Linked DNA regions of Medicago truncatula. The protein of the gene in region 2 interacts with the protein of the main gene of each other region in a pairwise test. Links are inferred from orthologs where the notes say so. Each region holds a gene or a part of one and is shown on either strand. Other genes may lie near its edges.

Region 1 (5,727 bases), on a different chromosome or scaffold from region 2:
AATAAGTTTACACTTGATCAATTAATCTGAATAAAAAGTTGCAATAGGATTTTTAGTCCAAAAAGTAATGTTTATCGTTACGAGAAGATGCATAGCAAATGTCTCGTGAATTTTTCTTCCTCGTGATGATAAGCATTACTCTTTGGACTAACCAATGAACACGTCGACATTCGCTAAATTTTGTAAAGGGTTTGCGATAAATAGCAGTGATCTTAGTCAAAATTAGCAATATTACATCATCCAATCTAGTTTTACATTGATGAAAATGACATATCATAAAAAAAATAAGTCACAAACTTTGTGTTGGGGGCCTAAAATCCAAAATTTATTATTTCACATCGTGAGTGTGAGTGAATGAAGAATCAACATGCTCTTAGTTTAGTGTTTGAGCTAATTCGTTAGACTTTTTTTAACCCAAAAATAAAGCTAATTCTACATAAATAGATGATAAAATGGCCGTCTCTATTTATATTCTTTTGAGAAAAAAAAAATCCTCAAATCAAAAGCTATCATCTCTAGTCTCTACCCAAAATTAAATTTTATTATGAAAAAAAATAAAGAAAGATGTAATTAATAATTTCAATCCCTCAACACTAGTTAATACAAATTCACAAGTCAATCTTAAAAAAGTAACAAGATAAATAAAAACTACTAAGATAATGATAATTATATTGAAGAAAAAAAAGATTAAACTAACTAAAGAAATATAGCCTCTGATCATTATTATAGGCAAAAATTTACATTTTAGATTCATTCAATTAATAATGTAATAGATCACATACATCATTTAATAAATAAATCTAAAATGCAAACTTTTACTTATAGTAATTATAGAGTTGAATTAGAGTACATAAAGATACACATTACACAATCAGTTGTTTCACTCTCAACCATCGATCTGGATCGGACGGCTGATAGCTATAATCCTTCTGATGTATATCTTGGGACACTAATCGGCCTTGTAGTTGTTGTGAAGATCCAGCTGCGATTCATGGTCACCAGCAACGTAATCAAGAAGACCCTTATGAATTGAAGCATCAGTTTGAGGTAAAGGAGAAGTTTTTGCAAAGACAAAGACAAGGGCAAGAACAAGTGCTGTGGAGAGAAAGAGTGGCCAAAAATAGGTGAAAAGGGTCACCAATTTAGGAGCCATAGCTATGAGAGAAAAGAGTGTTATGCATAAAAGTAGTGCTGCTATGATATGGTATCTTAGTTTTAGAAGCTTTTCTGGGATCTTCATTAGTGAAAGTGAGTGTGAGGTATAACACTGGTTGAGTTTGAGTTGAGGTTGTTGTGTCACTTGTGTCTTGTGGTGTGTGTTTGTTTTTCTGTGTTTAGATTTACTAGATTAGATTCTCACTCACTCACTAACTGTTCTTTTCTTTAGATTTCCACTTTCAACTTTCCATTTCCACCGTTTTAAGTATTTTTTTATTTATTTTATTATTATCTCAAATGGTTCGGAATTAAAATAGCATTTTGCTTTCGATTCACGTGTCTAGAATACTTTATACTCCTTCCGATCCTATTTACAATAAACAATTTACTTTTTAAATACATTAAATAATTTATGTATTTGGTTCAGGTTCTTGACTAAATACGTACATTATTCAATGTATCTAAAAAGTCAACTTTCTCTTGTAAATAGGACCGAAGGGAGTAGCTTTGAAGCACGGACACCTCTAGGACTAGGCATGTCACGGTGTCTAACACGTATCAGTGTCCAACACTTTTATGATACTCGTGTGACACGTGTCAGACAAGTGTTTTAAATACAATTATTTTTCCTTTACTCGGACACTCCTTTGACCGGTGTCCAACACCTATATAACACCCATAGTCATATGAGAAGTGTCGAACAACTCAGACATTTTTCTGAATCATGTTTTCTCCCTCTTTCTTCCACAAACCATAGATACAAGAGAATATGTGTTGAGAAATCTTAGATCAATGAGGGGTTATAGACATCAAAGTCACTTACGGTGTTTTTAGCTTTTTCGATAGAAGATGGATAAATAAAGGTCAAATGTCATCTTATTTTGTTTTAGAATTTTTTTTAATTAAATAATTTGCTCAAATTAGATGAACATGTATGTTTTTTTTATTCTCAATTTGGATCTTTTATAAATAAATTAATATATATGTAGCGGTGTCGGTGTCCTATTTTTTTACATTAGCGGTGTCTAATTGTCCGTGTCAGATATTCGTGTCAAAGTTCGTGCTTCGTACCTTTATAGTTTATACTAGTGCAGAGTTTCTATAAAATAATACAAATTGGTGTTTAAATAATAATGATGTTGATCAAACAAAATAATTAGGTTGTGTTTAATGAACTCCACCAAACGATGAATTATTCAAAAAAAATCTGAATTTGGTTTTATGGGTGGATCACTTCTTGACCAATTTTACTTACTTCTAAGTCGAACTTTAAATAATCAGATTATCAAGGCCTTTTTTTCTAGACTCAACATTAAAAAAAAAATGTAAATTTAAGGAAAATGTCTACACAAAATATCATTGGAGTCCGGTGTTTTAACCTAAGATAGATGAGAGAGAGAGAAAAAAATTATATGACAAATATAATAGATTGATAATGTGATAGAAAAAAAAGGTAGAGATAAAATGCGGTGGGAAAAAAATATCTAAATATCATTGTTGTAAAGTTGTTGAATTTCAACGAGTAATCGAGAAAACCTAAGTTTGATCAATGATAGGGATGTACACGGTTAGAATTGGTTTTGACCAAACACATTACTCGAACCAATCAATTTTTTTATTTTATTTTTTTATAAAAACCAAAAAATTACTACTATTTTTTCTTTGGGTAGTGTTAACTTGCGCCCTTAGGGCACATGTTAAGAAATCTAAAAAATAGAATTATTCCCTTAAATTTTGTGCATTTAATTCTTTAAACATTAAAAATTAAATTTAATGTACACATTCCAATACATTATTTCTATTTTTGACTTCTAAATTTATGCTTTAAAGCAGAAGTTAACATTTCTCTTTTTTTTTTATATATTAAAATCACATGATTTCTTAAAAATAAAAATAAAAAAATCATATGATCAAAGTAATAGGAATGCTAGGATCAAAATGTTACAAAGTTAACAATTCCACCAAATGATAAAAAGTTGGTTTGAGTCGTATGGAGTTAGAAGACATAACTTTTTATAAAAATAAATAAATATATTATATAATTAAATATTTTTTTTTCATGAAAATTCAAACAGATACACTGAATTCTTTAATTTAGAATTTCTTGAATTTAATTGAAATACTTCTAAATCAACAAATAATTCTTTTAACCAGATGGATCAGTAGGTTTTCGAGTTTTGAATCATCAGTTTGTTATCCAAATCAAAACACTTCAGGTTTAAGGGGGGTTAGCTTGAGTTTGACCCAAACTTGAACAAGTTTAAGTCAATTACCGATTGATTTGAGTTACTAGGTTGAACATGTCATCTAAGAACGTGAACACCCCTAGTCACTAGTTACAAGTCAAAATAATATTTTCTTTAATTGGCCACCTTGTGTGAATACAGGATCAGGACTAGCATATCATCTGGGGCACCATGATATCACTTATGTGGATGTGCTGACGCTTCCTCTTGTCCAGCCTCCTCATGTTGGGGCTCATGTAGTGACTCTGTTGCCTCAGGCTCAACCTCGGGGACATGACGAGGCTCGAGCTCGTAAGACACTTTGAATCTGTCATGTCTAGTCTTCCTTGTATACTCATGTCTAATCGAGACAATCATGCTCAATGTGTTTCCTCTAACTAGTGGCGGAGCGTTTCATGGGCTAGGTGGGTGACTCGCCTAAAAAATATTAAAAAATTAACGATCATATGTCTACTTTGCGATATTTTATACAATTTAGTGTCAGTTTTAGATTTTGGTTGATCCAAATTTCTGCAAAGTGGTGTAGTGGCCCACCCGAAAAATTTAAATAATTCAATTGTAGGTATATTTTACGAGTCTTTAAACAATTTTTCAATGGTTATAGTATTTCATGGTATCAAAAGTGGCATACGTGATTTTTGTGATGCTTATACTTGACATATAGTCATGTCAACTGAAAATTCTCTCAGTTAACGGTTGTAATGTACAAAAAAAGTTTAATAATTTATAGTATTTGTTAAATACGTAATTTTATAAATATCTACCCTAACATTTTAGTCAAACTCCGTCATTTCAACTTCATACTTAATGTTTATTACAATTTTAATTTGTGTTTATATATTATAATTAATTTTAGTGGCCCGCCTGAGTTTTTTTTCTGACTTCGCCACTGCCTCTAACGTGATCGGATGTGCGTCTATGGCCCCGTTTGGATAAACAGCTTATATAGATGCTTATAACATTAGAGCTTACAACATAAGTTCTTATACTTGATAAGCTCTTTATGTTTGGATATGTACAGTAAAAAGTATTTACTTAAATTGAAGTGTTTGGATGAGCTATTACATAAGCAATTATAAAAATTTTAAATATGTTTAATTTAACAAAAAAATAAAAATAAAGAATCAAACAACAATTATCGAGAATTTTTTTACAAAATTAATCTAAGATATAAAAAATCTTAAGAAATTATGATGGTAGAACTTGAATGGATGTACCATTAGCGTACATGTTTGTTAAAAAAAAAGAGGACAAGTTATTTTTTTTTTTTGAAGGAAGGATAATTTATGTTTGTTATTATTATTTTTAATGATGTTGTTACTCAATAAAGATAAGCTTATACCTATCTTTCTCTCCAATATAATATTAAAATATAGCTTTGGAAAGAATTGGAACGAAGGAGGTCACGTTAATTCCATAAGCTCCATAATAAGCCTTGTGTTAAGCTAAAAAATTGAACTTATTAAAATACAATATAAGCAGCTTATAAAAATATGATAAGCTATTTTTATTAATTTACCTAAACACCAAAACGTTCATAAATACATAGACAAATCAAAATGATAAACGAAATTTTAATAAATATCTAAGAAGTAACTTTTGAAACACATCTTTCCTCTGTTTTTTTTTTGTTTTTGAATAACAAATATTTAGAACGAGAAAATAGAGATTAGGATCATCTCCATCTATTATACACTTCCAATGCAGGATGATCTTCAAGACACTAATTTCAAAATTATATCTTGTTAATAAAAAAAACTAATTTCAAAATTAAACTCGTACAAAAAATGGTAGTACTTTGAAAATTCGTAGGAGAAGAAGTATAAAAGAAGAAAAAATAAGGGTGCAAATAGAAACTTTCTATTTGTTTATTAGTAACAACTAACAAGCCCAAAGCATGAAAGCTCGAAAAAATGGCGCCTGTGGCAGCGAGAAACGCCGGCGCTGTTGGTGTCGGAACTGCCATCTTCGTCTCCCTCGTCGTTGCATATTTCTTCTGCGACCGTCTCTGCAATCCATCTAAGAAGAAGAAGAAGAAGAAATCAAAGAATGGAATCATTGACGCCATTGGTAACACTCCTTTGATTAGAATCAATAGTCTCTCTGATGCCACTGGTTGCGAAGTAATTAATCCCTTATTCAATTTTCATTTTTTCGTTCTGTTACACTAATTTTTGTAGTATTGTTTATAACTCTGTTATTTATTGTTTAGATTCTTGGCAAGTGTGAGTTTTTGAATCCTGGAGGGAGTGTTAAAGATCGTGTTGCAGTTCAAATTATTGAAGAGGTAACTTTACTAAACCCCTCTTTCAATTATTGATAC
Region 2 (7,268 bases):
AAACAACACAATTGTTATATACAATTTACAAACATATAACTCTTTTTTCTAAAGATACAAACATATAACTATAAGCTGTATTAAAAGAAATACCCATACCATACAAAACATGACATTGATAAATGTAGTCCCCAAGTATCGGGATCGATTCTCCCCCAAGTAAAACTGGAATTAAACCAGACAAATAATTGCCTCCAGAAAAACGGCATGGGCATAATCATGGCGCTAGTCCACAGTCTTGGTTTACATCAACACTATTAATGGCACTGATTCTGTACCTACCAGTACCAACCAACCAAGCTTTACCATAGCTGAAATCAAGTCCGAGTCGATTATACTACTGTATTAAATTGAGCAGTGCTGTATGCCAGAAGAGAACTAACACAGCTTGTAATGGACTAAAGGGGAAGCCGGCAAATCATGGAACAAAAGCTTAAACTAGCTTATGATGTCAGGCAATTATTTCCCTGACAAGCCAGTCTAAACTTGGATATGAGAAGTACAAGATGAGAAATGACGGGAGAGCAAAGAGAATTGTAACAAGTATATACAGAGCCAAAATGGCTGCACTGGCTGGTACTGCATACAAGATAATCAAAAGAAATATAATGATCAACGGGAACTTAGCTGTCAACTGGACAAAGAAAATCAATGACTTTCGAAGAGATATATGCACCCTTTCCATATCGAGGTGATTGCGGGTATTAGCCCGAGGCTGACTGGAGTTCGATGTATCTGGAGGGTGGACTTGCCCCCCCTGAAGATTTCCATGGTTTACTTGCCCTCCTAAGGTTAAATTACCTTTGCTTGCACACTGTTGTTGATTATCCCCACAGCAAGTTGAATGTGATTTTACTCGGTCACCATTCATGCCCTCAACCATCCAAAGAAGAAAGTAGTTCTTACGAGGGAATCTAAGATTTCCTCGATATACTAAACGAAATGATAGAAGGTTGCACCAAGGGCAGGAGATGAAAAGTGGAAGTTGAACCGGCAGCGTTGGAAATTTCACGGTAGCCCATTGTAGTCCCAAGATACAGTTTTTACAGAGTGTATGACCACACCACAAAACATAAGGCACATTTTCAACAATATTGAAAGATTCCCAGCATACTGGGCACTCAAGCCCTTCCTCTCTTCCTACGACAGAGGTCTCATCATCAGAACATTCTGAAGCAGAATGAGTTGGGTTTGACGAATCCTTTTTCAGCCCTACATTTCCAGCAATACAATTTGATGCGAAGTTCCACATTCTGAATCACAATAAGTTTATAATCAGTCAGAAGGTATCATTCAGTCCTCAATGTGATCAATTAATGACTGACTCAACACATAATGTATGAAAGAAGCAAATAGTACAGAACTACATAATAGTAACAAGGAACATCAACAACCAAAGCCTTTCCCAGCTAGTTGAGATCATCTACATGGATTAAACAACACCGAAACTTTCTGTCATGGATGACATATATAAATATTATAAATAAGCAGTTTATTTAAAGCTCTCTATTGATGGTTTTACTTTGACGTATAGTTTTCCTTGGTCTTCCTCTAACTATTTAAGTGTCCTTCATCTGGTCTACCCCCCTAGTCGATGTCTTTAACATGTTTAAGCCACCTAAGAGGTTACTTTACAATTTTCCCACGATGGGCGTTACCCCAACTTTCCCTCTCATGACTTCACTCCTAATTCTATTTTGTCTAGTGTGACAAAGAAAAACCTAAAACTAAAAGAAAATGCCACCATAACATCTTCACACTATCCATATTAGAGTGCCTACCATGCATGCTTTATCCTGCTTTTATTATAAATAAGACTATCAAGAATTTAGTAAGCTTTGCTGTAAAAAGTTCCTTCTAGTCCATAAAAGAATTGGCAAGCCACTATTTTAAAAAAATGCTAGAAATCAAAAACTATTAATAAAGTAGGGTATTTGGATTCCATTCAGTAACTGGGTGACGTGGTTATTGGTCCTAGGTGTCCCGACACAAATCAATAGTCAAAATTATTTAAACATGATTTGGTGACCGTGTAATGTGAGCCAGCTCATCTCAAATAGATGATCAGGATCAATTTAAGCGTGTAAGTGTAACTGTGTGTTTTTTAATGCAATGGATCCAAATCCTAATCACCAAGCTTGCACAAAATATTTTGTCAAGTTTATGAGCCAAGTAAGATTAACTTCTCAAGAAATGCTTACAGATATCACACGAACTTGGCAATCTCAATTTCTGCATAAAAATTTAAACTACCTTCTGCATCTCAATTTCAGTATGAACCAACTCATCTGGATAACATAACGTAACTAGACAGCTAAATTAACATCACAAGTCAATGTCATCACTTAGCAAATCAAACAAAAATGTCAGCTATCTACTTTTCTACCAGCTGAACAACTAGAATTTGAAAGATCCTGATCTAGACTAAAAAACTACTGCAACCATTTCGATATAACTAATCATAATGATCATCACATATCAAAATGTAAAAATCATATCATATAATTGAAAACAAGCTAAAAACACTTATTTGATAAACACATTTAATAACAGATTTCAGATTTTTCCTTCTTCAAAGATCACATCAAAGTTCAGTACTTTATTACCATACCCCCAATTCAAATAGTTCATCTTCAAAATCAACTTATCAAAATCAAGCTAAAGTTAAAACACCCATTAAAGAAATCATTCAGATCATAAGAAATAACACTTAAAAAACAATTTTTAGTGTAAAAAATGAACTGGGTCATTGAAAAACACCACAAAATTATAATCCCAAATTATATAATTTGAAGAAAAAAAAACTAGAAACCCTAATTAAAAGCAAAACAGATCAAAAGGGGGATTGGAATTTAGAATTAGAAGAGGAAGGTACCGATTGTGCGGAAAATTGGAGAAATTGTGGACTGACAGTGGCACGAGCAGAGAATCGTTGATTGATTTGGTTGGTACCACTCGATTCGATCGCAAAACAGAAACCCTATATCAAAACGATGTCGTTTTCATCACTCATCTAGCCCACTCTATCTTACACACCTATATGATGTCACTGTCGGTATCACCCGTCTTTCTTTACAGGGTTATTTATTTATTGAGTGGATCATCAACTTCATCCTTGAATTTATAACGACTAATCAAATTTGTCCTCTAATTTACATGTTGTGTTGCGTTGTGTTGCGTATCATTTTTAACTTTTGACTTTCAATTTTTTCATATTTTTCCTCTTTCACTCATTCCTATCATCCTCGCATTTCATTCAGAAACGTCAATGACTCTTCTCCTTCCCGCTAAAACCTTCACAATCTTCATTTCTCCAAAATCATCATCATCTTCATCGATCAACGTTGGAAAAGATATTGTTTGAAACGAAACGTAACGCCTATCTTGTTCGTTTTTCATTCACTCATGTTCATTTTCCCCCATTTTTGTGACTGTTTTCTTTATTTTCGTTTTCATTTTTTATCCATTCGTTTTCATGTTTAAACTTCATTTGATGCTTTCTTTGATGTTTTTTGTGACGGTTGTGTTTTTTAGAACATTTTTTATTATTCATTTTAGGGTTTTCAATTTAAGACTAAATTTTTTGATGATTTACTGGTTGGTTACTAAAATTGGTGAACATTAAGTAATTAAGGAAATTATTGGTTGATTAAAACAATTTCTACACATGGTATCTTTCCTATGCTGTAGAATTCTGATTTGCGTTCTGAAGTTGTTTTGTTTGTGATTATGACAAAGGTTGCCAAAATCTGTAGGATGGAAGAAAATATCACGCTAATTATGCATCACGGTGGGGGGTTTAGAGCGAGATGAGTATCGGAGGCAGCAATATGTTCTAGGTGAATTTTGTGTGTTGGGAAAAAATGGATGCAGGTGAGTTATGTTTGTGGGACATTGAGAAGATGGTGAAACATTGCAGAGTTACTTCAAGGTATCTAAAATTGTGATACTTGAAGTTGTATGAAGGTGTTGCTTCTAATCGCAATATCTGCTTGAATTCATTGACAATTGATAAACATGTTTTGGATATGGTGCAAGTTGCAATGGCTAATGGGATGAAGTGGAAATATATGCACAACATGTGGTGGATAATGATGAGGTTGAACTTGTACCATTATATTCTGAAGAGATGCAGGAGCTTGAGAGAGCTATGCAAGAGTCTCTGAGAAATGTAAGTATGGGGACAACTGAAGCTGATACAAGAGTTATGGAGGTTGATATATTAACTGATGAGTAAAGAAATGTGATAGACTGTTTGGTTGCAAGTGTGCAAAATAGAGTATATAATCAAGAGGAAAATGTTGAAGCTACTCAAGGAATGGATGAAACAGTTGTTAATGTAATGTTTGGTTAACCCTTGGATCATATCGGATAACTTACAACTATTTCATTCATCTAGTGAATTCTCAAATATATTGGGAACCAACTCCTTATGACAAACATGTGCCACCAAAGGTGAGACGTGTTGCAGGAAGACCAAAGAAGAACAAGAGAAAGGATGGCAATGAGGAGCATGTTTGTAGGAGTAACATGAAGAAGATTTACAATGACACTCAATGTGGCGGGTATGGATTGTTTGGTCATAACTCAAAAGGCTTTGTGAAGAAATGTGTGTTTAGGAGACCAAAAGACTGAATCAATACCGAGCCTGAAGAACCAAAAGAAGAAAATGCTGAAAATGATGAAAAGTTATTGCTAATGATGTTTTAGAAAATGTTGTTGCTCAAGAGGTGCAAGGAAATTATGCTTAGTTCAAAATGTTGTTGCAAATGAGGTAATTTCTGAACAGGTATGACTCTTGTTGTATAAGGATCAATTTCCTAGTAAGTGTAATAATTTAAGAATGATTTGATTGAAAATTTTATTGTGGAAAGTAAGTAGAAAGAGGTGTATATTGGTAACCGTTGAATTAATAAATTAGCCTCTTCCATATAAAAGAAAAAGAAAAAAAATATTTTCAATGATAATTTTTGTACGTAAATGATTCTTTAACAAAAAATTATAAATATCCATGGATGGGGGATCCTCTAAAAAAAATTCATGAATGTGAGATAGAAATATATATATTGGATCAAAATTGGTTTGTACAATTTCTCTAAAGTTTTGATGACAACAAAACATTAAATAACAATTGGATATTCTAATACATGTTCAAGTGTGCATGACCATATATTAAAATTTAACAAGTTTTGAACATGTATAAGAGCATAAAAAATACACAAGAAGCTGAAAGACTATGGTAGAAGATCTGAAGAAAGGTCAATCAAAAGTCAACACCTTGGATCAGAAGAATAGTTGTTACTCTAAAGCTGAAAATCCTCATCAGACTCTGAAGAACATCAGACTCGAAAAATCTTCAAACTCAGAAGTACATAAGATCTTGAGGGACCCAGACTCCACGTCAGATTTGTCCTCTTATGTAGTTGTCTCTATCAAAGTCTGATAGTAGAGTTTATCTTCTTCTAACCACATGTAGAAACAAACAAATAACTTCAAGGGCAAATAAAATGACCAGATAATTCCAGTTTTTGCAAAAGAATTTCAAATGTTTAATCAACGAAACTATCCATATCAGACAAAGGGTCAACGTTCTTGATTTGAAGCTTCTCAATAAGTCTTACTGCGCTGACATTCTACTCCAACGTCTCTCAAATCCTTGCCTATATAAAGAGTTGAAGACTTGAAGAACAGCAACAAGACTATGATATTAAGTGTAAGAACGAATCTTGTTTATTTGTAAACCTTTAGAAGTCTCTTGCATGTGTGCTTGAGCATAGGAAGTCTCTTTCAGTTGTGAATGAACATTGAAAGTATCTTGCTTGTATGCTTGTACATTTGGAAGTCTCTTGGAGGTGTCCTTGAGCAATTGTAATCCAGTGAGGTTATAGTGAAATCCCTTGGAAGTGCAATGAGACTAGATTACTCCTAGTTTGTAGGAGGAACCAATATAAATCTCTCTCCCCCCCTCTCTCTATCTCTATCTCTCTCCCTCTCTCCCTCTTTTTGTGTTTGATTTATCCGTTGCAAACAAACTTTAAGTTAGACTTTGATCAGTTTTGAAACACTTAGAAAAGTTTTTGAAAAAACCAATAGAATTCAATCTCCTTTCTTATGTTTTTCTCACCTTTAATATATTATTCTTACTCAATGAAGCGAGTAGCAAATGATTGTTATTTGTGCATGTGGATATCATTTGTTAAAATGGTGATCAAGTAAGTATACTCACTCAAAAACAAGTAGTAGTATATTGATACATAAATATCATCCCACTAGGGTTGTAGAAATTTTCATAAAACATGTGATCTAACATTTTTATTAACTAGTAATATATTCATGCTAAGAATGAGTTGTGCGTCGAAGCGCGTTTGTTTGTAAGTCACATTATTATGATATAATTAATTTTAATTTTTTTTTTTTTTTTATGAAACTTCAACCTTATTTTTGGAGGTAAGTTAAAATTATATCTTAATGATATAATTAGATGAAATGTCTCATTAAACCACATTTAATTTCTTCAAAACACAACAAAAAAAAAAAAGTTAGATCTTGAAGTTTTTAATTTCGTGCTAAAAAATGAAATTGAGAGACATATACATACTTTTCTAAGATGGTTTCAAACACACAACAACAGTTTAAAAATGAAACCAAACATGACAATATTGTCTTCAAGTTGTTACTTGAACTCTTCATTGGGTGGCGTTTAGTATGGGTAAGTGAAGTTTTTTCCCACCATGGGAGAGTTGATTATGTGCATTGGATCAAATGAAGAACACGGTACTATCATGGACTCTTAACATTAGATATTTTCACACTCTTCTCAATCCTCCATCCCCACTCTCCCCAACCGGAAACTGCTGATCAAACCAACCGTCCCAAAGCTTCCGACGGACCTCCGAAGCATTTCCACCATCTTATTGGACCTTCAGACACCTCCACTCACCGTCGTCCAGCTAAACCACTCTACCATGTGGCTTGCGTTTTCCAGATCCGCTTCTCGCACAGTTACCCTTTTATTTCGTTTGATCTATGTTTTTTTTTTACTCCAGGATCCATTTCCATGATTATTCTCATTTCTTCAGATCTATTTTCAATTTTCGTTTTTATGTTTTCTTAATTTATTTGATGATCCCTGTCTTTGAATTGGTGATTTCAATGTCATGTGTTTTAGTGCTTATGCGGATGAACTGTGAATGATGATGATGGCGGTGTCACCGATGTGAAAGAAACTAGTTTAATTGGTTCGGTGGAAGAGGAATGTTGAATTATAT

Evidence for each region.
Region 1: the proteins of uncharacterized protein (region 2) and uncharacterized protein interact in a two-hybrid assay, tested with the Arabidopsis thaliana proteins (2 studies listed by BioGRID, with this or other methods). The link is inferred for Medicago truncatula from reciprocal best matches to the Arabidopsis thaliana genes AT3G29270 and AT3G13175.

The regions. Positions count from the first base shown.
Region 1 is NC_053046.1:43,006,100-43,011,826, forward strand, and holds uncharacterized protein, read right to left. Parts: upstream 1,386-5,727; 5' UTR 1,241-1,385; coding exon 950-1,240; 3' UTR 547-949; downstream 1-546. Other genes in the region: cysteine synthase 2, read left to right, coding at 5,318-5,527, 5,617-5,691.
Region 2 is NC_053047.1:4,249,592-4,256,859, reverse strand, and holds the start of uncharacterized protein, read right to left. Parts: upstream 3,071-7,268; 5' UTR 2,876-3,070; intron 1,254-2,875; 5' UTR 1,253-1,253; coding exon 452-1,252; 3' UTR 1-451.